Coturnix japonica: one gene and its partner. The protein of the gene in region 1 interacts with the protein of each later gene in a pairwise test. Links are inferred from orthologs where the notes say so. Each region holds a gene or a part of one and is shown on either strand. Other genes may lie near its edges.

Region 1 (5,641 bases):
GAGAGAGTACCTTTCTATGCTCAGTAGCAACTCCTCCAACTAATAAACAGTTGTGAAGCAAGTTCCAGTCACTCTTCCTGAGTTGAAAGGTTAAAGACCTTGATAGAAAGAAAAATGAACAGGACCAGAAGGAGAGAAAAAGGAAAAACAAAATTCATTTAGGGATACAGAAGACACTCTGGGGATGAGGGCAAAAGCAAGATAAAGGAAAGAGGTTTTAGACATATCCTTTTGCTGCTTTTATTATAATTCCATTTATTCTCTGTACAGAAATGGAAAATAGAAGCGTTTCTTTGAAATGACTGAAAGGCTGTTTCAGTGCGCTTTTAGCAATTACCTATCCTTGTGACCAGCAGAAAAATACACGCAATTTCATCTTCTAAAATACCTAAGAGCTTTGATCATAAAAATGCATTCTGACATTTAGACAGTGAATTAACAGCTTTAGAATTACAGTATTATTTACCTGGAACAGTAAGAGCTAACTTTCACAAACACTTGTGTGCAAAGTAGCTTATCCTCATAGGTGGTATCAGCGCACAAACATATTAAACTATGTACTATTTTCTACTTATATGTTAAAGTACTGGTTCCATGTCATTTCTTCATACAAAATCATGCAGCAGAGTAGAAAACTGACACAGAGCATTCATCCTTATCTCCCATGCTGTATTTGTGCATGACTTTCTCAAATCTTTTCATTTATTTACTTTTTTACTCTCTTCAAAACTGTGATAAACAACTATAAGAAAATAGGTTATATGTATGAAGGAACTTGCTATGAAGTTAAAATGAACAGTGCTGAGCTTGGTTTAGAAGATTGCCCTTCCATGAACTTTCTGCCCAACTTGCCCAGAAGTGATTTTACACAGAACAGTTACTTTTATATAAAACTTTCTACTCTAATTAGATTTAGAAGCATTTGCTTATTGTTTCTGCATTCATCGAATGAGCATCAGTAAATTCACCAAGAATATAAATCCAGCTTTGCTTTATTCTCACAGAATTTGAGGTCAGTGTCCATACCACAGGCATACTGCAAGTTATTGAAAACATATGAAGTACTAAAAGAATTGCTATTTTTGACATTACTTTGACTTGCGTAGATACTTTAGGATATAAAGTGCTGGAAAGGATATTTTGTTTAAAAAACTTACAAATTCTAAAGCTAGGGATATAACAACATACGTGAGTCAGACCTATTTGCATGCCTACTGGAATTCTAACTTAAAAGACAAGCTAATAACTTGTAATGAGCATAAGAACGCTAGGATTGCCAATACAAACAAAGCATACAACTTCCCTCAGAAAAACTCTATGTAACAAAATATACTATTTCATTATTTTGGATAAAATTAAAACTTTTCAAAAGCATTCAATGAAAAAATAAACCCTTTATGAGCAGAAAAAAACAACACGAGGTAACAGCAGTTACTGTATGGTACAAATCTCTAAACCGTGATCAAAAGAAATCATCCCCAGAGATTGGCTGCTGCATCCTAAAGTACATTAAAATCTTTAAGAGCATCAGTAGAAATTGAAACTACAGAGTTCTTATTTGAAGTGTTTCCATGACAAATAATACCCGGGACAAATGTATCTACTGTTCTCTGTGCTTACATCGTTCACAACAAAAATAAAAACGTCACAAATATGAGCCAAAAAACATCATGTAATATAGCTCTTCCATAACACAGAACTCTTTAATTTACAAACATTCAGTGCAATTATTTCTCAAAATCTGAAAAAACCAACCTCATAAAGTGGCTCTTCCTTTATATTTCATTTATTTCACTTTTTTCTTATTCCAAGTCATTACATCACTAGAAACATTTTATTAAAGAAGAAAAAACAAAATAAGGCCACCTATGCATACAATCTGATATTGACAGGTATTAAAACTTGAATTAATAACAAAATGCAATCTTAAAACTTTCTCCCAGTTAGTATTTTTAGATAACTTACCTAAACTGTGGAGCTCCTGTTTTAATATCTCCTATGGTGACTTGAACATCATCTTCATCATCATCGCTATCACTATCGCTGTCATCCTCAGCCTCAGTCGCCTTCTACAAAAGAAAAGGTCACAATCTACAATGAAAAAATAATCCAGACAAAAGTACCTATTCTGGATATCTTTAACAAAAGAAAATTGTTTCTCAGATGTCAGAATTGAGTAGCAAGAACTGAATATGTTCTTCAGTTTCAGTGTTATCAATCTTGGAATAATATTGAAAATACCTGGATCAAAATAGAGAAGTATTTTTAGTATTAAGTTTCTGTCTCTGAAACATGACATTTCCAAGATAGGCATAAAACATTTTCCACTATCCAGTATTTTCTTCTCCCTCCCTATCTCATTTATACCAGTTCTGCTGCAGTCACTCAGGAAAGAGCCAGAAGATACATGACACCAGCTTCTTGCCATCTCAGTTATATACCCAGAGCAACTCAAAACACTTTTTCAATCATAGATGAACACTGCTCTTCAGGTAAAGTTATTCAATTCATAAACTAGTAAACCTCAAATAAATCAAATACTTGAGACTTTTATTGAACAGGCTGGAAAAAAGCAACACCACAAAACAGCTACAAGAGTACACTGCATTCTGTTCTGTCCCATGGCTTTCAAGCTTGCTGGTAAATAAAAACAGTCATACCAGTTCATACCGACAGTTCATCCAGCCCCACGTTTTGATGTGGGTTTGTTTTTGTTTTTTCAGAAAAAAGGGACTGTAAGAACTCAATTCCTACTTACAGCCATTATACGTGATTTGCTAACTTCTATTCTGCCTTACATATGCCTTCCTCCCAGGCTGAGAAGCCCTTGCCTACTCAGTTATTTGTTACTGGAAGCAACCTGCATTGCTCTTGTTGTGCTTCTCTCAACTTTCTTCAGTGGAAGTAAAGCCTTCAAGGTGCGAGAGGAATAGAACTGCACACAGAATTTGAGGTCTAACAGAAACAAACTAACACAGTGGCAAAATAGCCTTCTGTTTGGTCTGCTAATCACTATCTGCTACATTCCCAAATTTGACTGCTTTCTAGACTCCAGCGAAGTGTTAAAATTACATTTTCATGGACCTTTCAACATAGCTGAGCAGCTTCCTCGTAAGTGGTAATGATCAGCTCAGAAACCATCATTTATTTGCAAGCTGTTTTTCACCCATGAACATTTCTTCTACACAGAATTTCATCAACCATTTATCAACCACACAGTCCCCTGTAGAAAGTCGTATATTTAATAACTCTGTAACTTGCACAACTTAACCACTTTTCCAGGTAATTTATAACCATACTGAATAGCACAGGCTCTGTACAACACTCTAGAGAAACACCAATGGAGGTGATCTTCAACCACCACCATGAAAACGGAACCTTTACTTCTGCACTGTTTTCTCTCTTCTGCACATTGATTATCCATGCCATTCCTTTGCTTTCTAAATATCCTTTAATGAAGAACTTCTTCCAGACTTTTCTGATTAACCAGACTATGCCACTCTGCATACTTGCAGAATCCTTCAGCAAGACACTAAACGTACTGAAACCAAGTTGGTTAGCCTGCAGTTATCCAAGTGCAGTCGAGCTCTGGTCCTTATCTAACTTGCCTGGTACATTAACTAGACCAAAATTAGCAGCTGCATGGAAGATAAGAGGTTAGAGTGCAGTTCATTCTTGCTGTACAGCATTAACATAATGTATTTAATAACTAAGAGTCAAATCAAGGCAGAAAAACCCTCAATTATTTTAATCAAAATAGAACTTCTGCAAATGACAGCTGATGATGGAAGACAGTCTTTCAGTGCCCCACTGTCAAGAGAAACAAGTTCACCAATTACTACTTCTCCATAGAAAAGCCACAAACCATTCCCATTCATGGTAAACTGCAGCCATCCATCAGCACTGCAACTGTAAACCTCATTTATAAGTACTATTTATTTATTGTCTGTAAGTTAGTTTTAAGAAGTGGAATGCAGCTGGAAATAGAGTTTCCTAGTCTTTATTGTTAATGCAGATATCATCAAACACCATCTGCAAAAGTCAAAGGTGTACAATTATGGATGAGTTCATTTGATTTTAATTCCAAGCTAAATTACAATTAGTCAATAAATCAAAACAAATTAAAGCAGTATTTCAAAAGCACATTTAAAAGTACCGTTTTCACAACGCCATTTTCTGCAGCCTCCTCTTCGTTTCCAGGTGGGGGTGGAGCACTTAAGCAAAAACAAATAGGGAGAAAAATGAAACTAGTTATTTAGGCACATGTTATCCCAGACATCAGCTAATGCTGAATAAAGCACCAATATATCATTCCAGAGAGCAGAAAAAGTCTGACTTACCTTGTACATGAAATTGGGAAAAAAAAATAATAACTTTCTGACTTTACAGAATAGAAACTGGAAGGCAGAATGATTTCCATTTGCTTGCAAAACACCCACTAGTGAGTACTGCACCAAAGCCCAACCCAGTGCAAGTCTGGCCCTGGGATTCAAGCTTTACTATTTAACTGCACGACCCAGTAAAATGATATAACATCTACAGAATCTGGATAAAACTTCACTGGTAAGAATGACAAAACTGAAAGCTGAGGGAACAAAACTTTAACAGGAAAACTGTTGCCGTGTCTCCAGACACAACCCATAAGAAACGCAAGCAACTATTTGTTCCTCTTTTCAGTCCCAAGCTACATACTGAGGCAGCTAACAGCCAAGTCAAGGTCCAAATAACCAGAATTTAGAATAAGACACCACTATAGATCATTTTGTTTGCCATACAATTAATTTTCTTAATCAACAGTCCTACTGACAAAAGGTGTTAGATCAAGAAAAGATAACCAAGCACAAAGAACCAATTGATATGGGATAGGTTCCAAATAGAACCAAATAATTCTGGGATAGACATGATCCAGGGCAGATATAATGGAGGTAAACAAACAGATAATAACTCTTTATTTCTTATACAACAGTAATCAATGGGAATCAAACAACTCTATCTACTTGCAGCTTCAAAATGGTCTTGCATGCAGTCTGCTAGTAGGAGGCATTACTGCTATAAGGTAAGTGCCTGTCAACGTTTTCCTTCGGTTCAAAAACAAGCAACTGAGCAAACCTGTGGATACAAAGTCCACCAAGGATGACTAAACTTGACAGTTCTCTGTTGATTACTAAACTCAACAGTCCTCTATTGCGAAAAATTTCTGGAGACTACAAGAGGCATTCATGGAAAATAACAATGCGCACACTCTTCCACCAGCTTCCCCTTTATTTACCTAATTTTAACTTCACAATCAATAGTTTCCATCATTTATCAACTGTGAAATTGATAAATTTAGTGTGAAATGCTAACTTCATTTCAGTGGGTTCTTGCTACCAACTGCTGCCAACATAGACAAGTTTTCAAGGAAACTTTGTGCTTTCGCTTACACAGTTCCTCATAAGTCATTTGGGCTTCCAAATCTTTCTCAAGCAAAGACTTGCCTACCAATCAAAAACATGTTATAGAATTAGCACATCTAACTGGATGGTCTTTCAATACCTGAAGGGAACTTACTCCCAGGAGGGGAGTAAACTCTTCAAAAGGGCTGACAATAGCAGGACATGGGGAAATGGTTTTAAGTTGAAAGAGGGAAGATTTAGGTTGG
Region 2 (6,325 bases), on another chromosome or scaffold:
TTAGTTAGGAGAAGAGTTCTGACTCATTAAGTACATCAAGGATAACGATCTTTATAGTTCTTATTTTCTTAACAAGAGAAAAGAACACCCCACATATTGAATGATCTGTTTCCCTCCCAGTCTGTGTGGGTGATCTGCCAGCTGGAGCATCAGAGAGAAGAAACCAAAAACTATGGATTGCAAACCCCAGCAATCCCACTTTTCTCTGAAAAGCAGCTTTAGAGAATTGGTTTGGGCTGCTAAAATATCATTGCCATGACTGAGATGTCATGCAGATTACAGAAACTGGCAGATTGTTGCATAACAACACATGGCATGCTTCTCTGTTATACAGGAGTGTTCTGTGACTAGATCTTCACATTATAATATAGCAACTGCAAGACTTCTGTTGCTATAATGGCCTCTTCTAAAGTATTGTGGAAAACACTTTGAGAGTGGGTGGGTGTAGGATGCAGGGGAATTGTGTACCTTTTGCTGTGTTTGTGCTGGCTGAGGCAGTGGTGGTTGCTCTGTGGTTCCCATAGGTAGTTCAAATCGAGGGCTGTTTCAGGCAGAGACAAAGAGAAATAAAGATTCTCAAATTATATGCCAACACCTTCATATCAGCTCAGTAAGAAAAAGAAACAACTCCAAACAACAAAATGTTCAGCAAATTAAATTAGACTCGCAGAAAACAGACCTCCTTTCCCCAGTTATCATTCTTATGCTTGGTATTTATGCTTACAAGAACAATATGCCAGTAATGAAAAGTCTAATGTAAGCTCATGCAAGCCCACCATGGCATCCAAGCACTTCAGTGTCTTACTGATAACTCCCTAAGGAGGACATACACCACATCCTCTAATCAAAGATAGATTGTTATACTAAGTGTTGGCTATCTTTACAGAACCACTGGGAAGTATTGGAGCCCCCCCATTTGACATGCATCAGATTACAGTGGAAACATCATCAAAGAGCAAGCCTGGAAACAAACTCACTGCATGAATTTACAGGTAGGCCCTTCTGGACAGAATCCTACTAGGTAATTCACACAAATGACTCTTCGAGTGTGTCGGTGTCTGCAGAGTGGACCTGCAACACAAAGTTAAATGGTTCATGTACTATATATACATGCTCCAACATTCAGTAGCAGCAGGTACACAAAGCAGCTCATGCAAAGAAAGAATAGCAACACCCTACCCTTCATTTATAGCCACAGGAGCAACAACACAACATACGTACCATGTTTACAGAAGCCTCTGTCATACCAGGGACAGTCTTTGATCTTAGATTCCGGGTCAATGTGCAAGAATGGGCATTCTTTGTTACTGCATTCCCCTGTACCAAAGGCAAACGCATCTCTTAGTTAATGATGCAGGTTCAAGATCAAGTAATTCCTAAAATGTTACCTGGATCATGTACCTCCCACAAAGCTGTTACCAGCATTCATAAGTTCAGGCACAACGGTCTTATTGCCTGACTTAACCTAGAGGATGAACACCAAGCACTCACCCCTAGTGAGTGAACTTCTACCAGACTGGATTATTTATGTGTGCTTTTAAAAACAATGCAGAAACTGATTTTTGGAAGAGAGTCATGATAACAAAAACCAAACATTTAGTGCACCAAAAGTGTGGAGAAACTACAAATTGCACACTAACCTCAATCCAAGGAAACCTACAAGACTGTAAGTTTCTGACAGCAAGTTGCCTCATTATGTCCAGATCTCCAGAGCTGGAAAGCAAGTGCATAAAAGTTTTGCACCCCCATGCCCTCTGCTGCTCATCAACTCCCCAAAACAAGAGTCATGCAAAGACCAACTGCTCAGCCTACTCAACTCATACTAAAAAAGAGAACATAAAGCACAAAACCCAGTAACAATGTGAACTTCCTCCCTCTTCCCCAACATGACAAGCTCTTGAGAGAGGAAACATCTACAACACATGGCGAATTTAGGGGAATAAAAAGATAAAAGAGCTAAGCAGACCTGAAAAACTACAATGGAACAGTGTCAGCAGACATGGAAGAACTGAAATATTCTGAGGATGGAATAAGAAGGATGTACCAGGATCTTCTTCACCAGACTCCCACGCTTGCAAGGAACACTACGTAGGAGCTACAATGTTTCTTACCGAATTTGGAGTAGAAGTAACACTCAGGCATCTTGGTCATGTCATACTCGTGCAGAAACTCACACTGGTCTCCCTTTTTGCATAGTCCTCGTAGCCAGTGTTTGCAAACGACAGTCTTTTCCCCACTGATGTGTCTGAATGGGCACATACCTCCTGCACAAGGATGAGGCAAGGGAAATGAAAAAGAGGAACAATTAAACTCTGCAGTACAAGCAGGAACACAGCAACAGCAGCGCTTCACTCGCCTCTACAAGAGAGGTTTCAGAAGAACTCAGTTTTTCCTTATGACTTCAGTTCTTAATGGTAACGATAAACAAGGACATCCAGACAAGTCCTGTTTTACCCTCTAATGAGCTGAGCACTGTAGTCTCCATGTCTAAATCCCAGCAGCCGCAACCCATAGACACTAAAACAGCCACATCCACAGCAAACCCCACACAATTTGTGGAGTTAACAAAAGCCATGATTAACATAGAACGTGCCAGCAAATCTATTTCTCCTCCCTGCAATACGAGTGTAAGTGTACTGGAAATACAACTTGCCTTTCCCGCATGCTGCTTTTAAAAAGAATTCACAGACAGCTGCACCTGATTCTGTGGAAAGAAGAAACAAAATAAACGTTAACAAACTTTAGTAGGAGCTTCCAAAGTATTTTCTGCCTGAAGAAACGACTGAGTCCTCAAATTCAAAAGAGAAACAGCATTTTGGTTTGAGGAATTTACATCCCTGCATGAATTCTTTGTTCAGTTCTGGCCTTCACAAATGTCTGTATTCTCCTCAATGAATACACAGCAGGGAAATTTGCAGTTCTGTTTATAGCCTTTCAGACTTCAGGTTGGGCAATGACTATTAAACCACTTGCTGTAGTGAAACATGTTTATAGCCCTGGCTCTCAAAGTCTTTTCTGCAGATCAGCCTGACCCAGTTGTTGCTGCGTTATCCCTCACTGACCTACAGGAATCACAGCACTCAAGGGAGCAATGTGAGGTCAGCAGCACTGACACAGAACGTCAGCAAACTGTTGAGTCTCCCAGGACTACTTGCATCAGTGGACAGGTTGAAGACCCCTATGATGACCAAGTCCAACCAGCCCATTCTCACCACATTGACCATGTCCTTCTGGAGTTGTAGGGAATGATGTGGCCTCCCCTGACTCCCCCATCTCCAGACTAATGCAGGAAAGTGCTCAGATCCCAGACTGTGAACACACCTACACCTTCCCTGCCACCAAAACACCTCACCTATCAAAAGGGCAATCAAACAACAGCGTGGGACAGCAGTGTTTATTCACATGAACGCCTCAACTTTCCTTCCATCCCAGCACGGCACAAACTACGGCTACAGACACACAGCACCCGGCCCAAGGCAGCACCTCAGGGCAGCAGGAGCTGAGGGGACACGAGGAGCCCAGCACAGGGCACGGAACAGCCCCATCCCCACCACCACAGAATCACAGAATGACCCGGGTTGGAAGGGACCTCAAGGATCATGTAGTTCCAACCCCCCTGCCTGGCAGGGCCACCAAACATACACCTTTACTACATCAGGTTGCCCAGGGCCCCGTCCAACCTGGCCTTGAACACCTCCAAGGACGGGGCATCCACAACCTCCCTGGGCAGCCTGTTCCAGGGCCTAACCACTCTCCTAGTGAAGAACTTCCCCGTAACATCCAACCTAAATCTTCCCTCTTTTAACTTAAAACCATTTCCCCGTGTCCTGCTATTGTCAGCCCTTTCCAAGAGTTTACTCCCCTCCTGGCACTAAGTTCCCTTCAGGTACTGAAGGGCTGCACTGAGGTCACCCCACAACCTTCTCTCTAGGCTGATCCCTTCTCTAGGCTCCATCCTTGTCCCACCACCCCGGCTCAGGGATAGAGGTTATGCCGCGCCCGGCGCCCACACGCACTGTCCATGCCGGGAAAGGGCAGCGGCTGCGCCCCCAGCTGCTGCTCCACCGCCAGCTCCAGGTCGAACTTGATGTGGTCCACGCTGGCGATGAGCTCCTGCATGGTTGCAGCCGGGGGGCGACGGCACCGGGTGGGAAGGGGTGGAATGGTTGGGGCCGGCTGTGGCCAGGCCCGGCCCGGCCTGGCCCGACCCAGCCTGCTTCTCTTCGGCAGCGCCTCAACACTCAATGGGGCCGCGCGCGACCCGCGCCGCGCCGCCCGCCCGTCCCGGAGGATGCCGGGAAAACACCTCCGGCTCCGGCCGCCGCTTTGAACACGCCTCTTCCTGCCGCGCATGCGCCGTGGCGCTACGGTGGCCGCGAGGGGGCGGGGCGGTGTGTGCGCCGCGCTTCGCGATGCGGCCTGCACGGCTCCTCCTCAGCCTCCAGCCCGTCCCTTGGCGGTGCTGCCGGGCCGCTGCTCCGCTTCCCTCCGCCTTGTTCCGGTACCTCAGGCCCAGCTTCCCTTCACTGCGTGGCCTGAGGGCGCTGAGCTCGTCGCAGCCGCCCCCTGAGGTGCGCGGTGCTGAAGGCGAAGCTGGTGATGATGATGATGATGATGATGATGAAGGTGTGGAGTTCGGGACGCTGTCTGCTAAGTTCTCCCATAGGAAATATTACCACAAAACCACGGCGGTGTTTCGGAACTTGAAGCTTGAAGAGGATGGGGAGGAAGAAGGGGAGAGGAGGCTGTGGTACGGCCGCAGGAACACGCCGTACTGGTATTTCCTAAGGTGCAAGGCCCTCATCAAGGAGGACAAGGTGGGATTTGGGGGTTATAGTAACGTTTGGTGCTTGTGAACGAGCACTTTGCTGTTAGGATTAGAATGGTTCGCTTGGGAGGGGCTTGAAGTGATCATCAGGTCCCTTTGGCCTTTAACTGAGGTTAAAGTTGCCTTTAAAGTTGCTACTCCTGCCTCCTGTTATAGCTGTCTGTCTGCACTCAGCACTTTTGAAGCCATGCCTCAAGTACTTGTTGTTCAGTTTTGGACCATTCGCTACTAAAAAGATGTGGAGGCCCAGGAGTGTGTCCAGAGAATGGCAATAAAACCATGAGCATAAGTCTTATGGGAAGCAGTTCAAGGTCTGAGGAGACCTCATTGCTTCCTGCTCTCTGAAAAGAAGTTGTGGTGTGGTGGGAGTTGGCCTCTGATCCAGGTAGCAGTGATAGGATGTGAGGTGATGGCCTCAAGTTGTGCCGGGGAGGTTCAGGTTGGATACTAGGAAACATACTTGGAACGAGTGGTAATGTGTTGGAACAGACTGCCCAGGAAGGTGGTGGAGTCGCCATCCTTGGAGGTGTTTGAGAACTGTGGAAATGTGGCACTGAAGGACTGACAGATCAGACTTGATGATCTTAGAGGTCTTTTCCAACTCATTATCATCATTATTAAAAGAAGGAAAACAAGAATTTATGAGGAATTCTGTGCTCTGTAGGATTTCTGACTACAGCTAAGGCTATTCATTGTAACTGAATTGTTGCTTCATAAAACATTTTCCTTTTCTCTGTAGCTGGCAGAGGCCCTGGAGCTGTTTGAGGTGCAGATGCTGAAGGAAGAGCGAGTAAAGCCAGAAGAAATCAATTACACTGTTCTCATTGGAGGCTGTGGCAGGGCTGGCTACGTGAAAAAGGCATTCAGACTCTACAACGATGTAGGTTCACATTCTCTCTTTTCTCAAGCCTTCATTAGGTTCACTCAGCTAAATCTGTTTCTATCATCTGGTCGTGTTATTTTCTCTCCAAAATGCCTTTGAGCCAATGTTCACCTTTCCTGAAGCTCTTAAAACCAAATTATGAAATAACTCTTTTCCTAAAACCTAGTTCCATGTCTTCTCTTCTCTTAGATGAAGAAGCGAGGCTTAACTCCTACTGAACCCACATACACAGCGCTGTTCAATGCCTGTGCTGAATCGCCATGGAAAGACTCAGGCCTGCAGAGTGCTCTCAAACTACGGCAGCAGCTGAAGGACAAAAACCAGGAGCTGAACATGATCACTTACCATGCACTGCTGAAAGTCTGTGCGCTGTGCTCAGATCTCAGGATGTGTTTTGATGTGCTGAAGGTAAATATTATGACTTTTCTTGTATCGAGTGTATTCTGCTCTAATTAAAGCTCTAATTAAAGTTGCAATATTGCGTTATGACATTGGGGTCATTTTTGCAGAGATAATTACTGACCAGATGTTCATATTTCATTGACCTTTGGTCTCATTCGATTAATTATCTTGTTACTTACCAAGTTCTAGTACATAAAATGAGGCAGCTACAG

The links. The genes of interacting proteins can lie anywhere in the genome.
Region 2: the proteins of FIP1L1 (region 1) and CPSF4 interact in binary tests that used the Homo sapiens proteins (3 or more experiments, as listed by UniProt). The two-hybrid records come from large-scale screens. The link is inferred for Coturnix japonica from reciprocal best matches to the Homo sapiens genes FIP1L1 and CPSF4.

What each region holds. Positions count from the first base shown.
Region 1 is NC_029519.1:59,343,743-59,349,383, forward strand, and holds part of FIP1L1 (pre-mRNA 3'-end-processing factor FIP1), read right to left. Parts: intron 4,215-5,641; coding exon 4,157-4,214; intron 2,070-4,156; coding exon 1,966-2,069; intron 1-1,965.
Region 2 is NC_029529.1:4,429,705-4,436,029, reverse strand, and holds the start of CPSF4 (cleavage and polyadenylation specificity factor subunit 4), read right to left. Parts: upstream 4,231-6,325; 5' UTR 4,120-4,230; coding exon 4,017-4,119; intron 2,705-4,016; coding exon 2,654-2,704; intron 2,265-2,653; coding exon 2,112-2,264; intron 1,318-2,111; coding exon 1,222-1,317; intron 1,072-1,221; coding exon 978-1,071; intron 542-977; coding exon 469-541; intron 1-468. Other genes in the region: pentatricopeptide repeat-containing protein 1, mitochondrial, read left to right, coding at 4,231-4,817, 5,568-5,708, 5,901-6,119. UniProt on the Homo sapiens protein: Component of the cleavage and polyadenylation specificity factor (CPSF) complex that play a key role in pre-mRNA 3'-end formation, recognizing the AAUAAA signal sequence and interacting with poly(A) polymerase and other factors to bring about cleavage and poly(A) addition.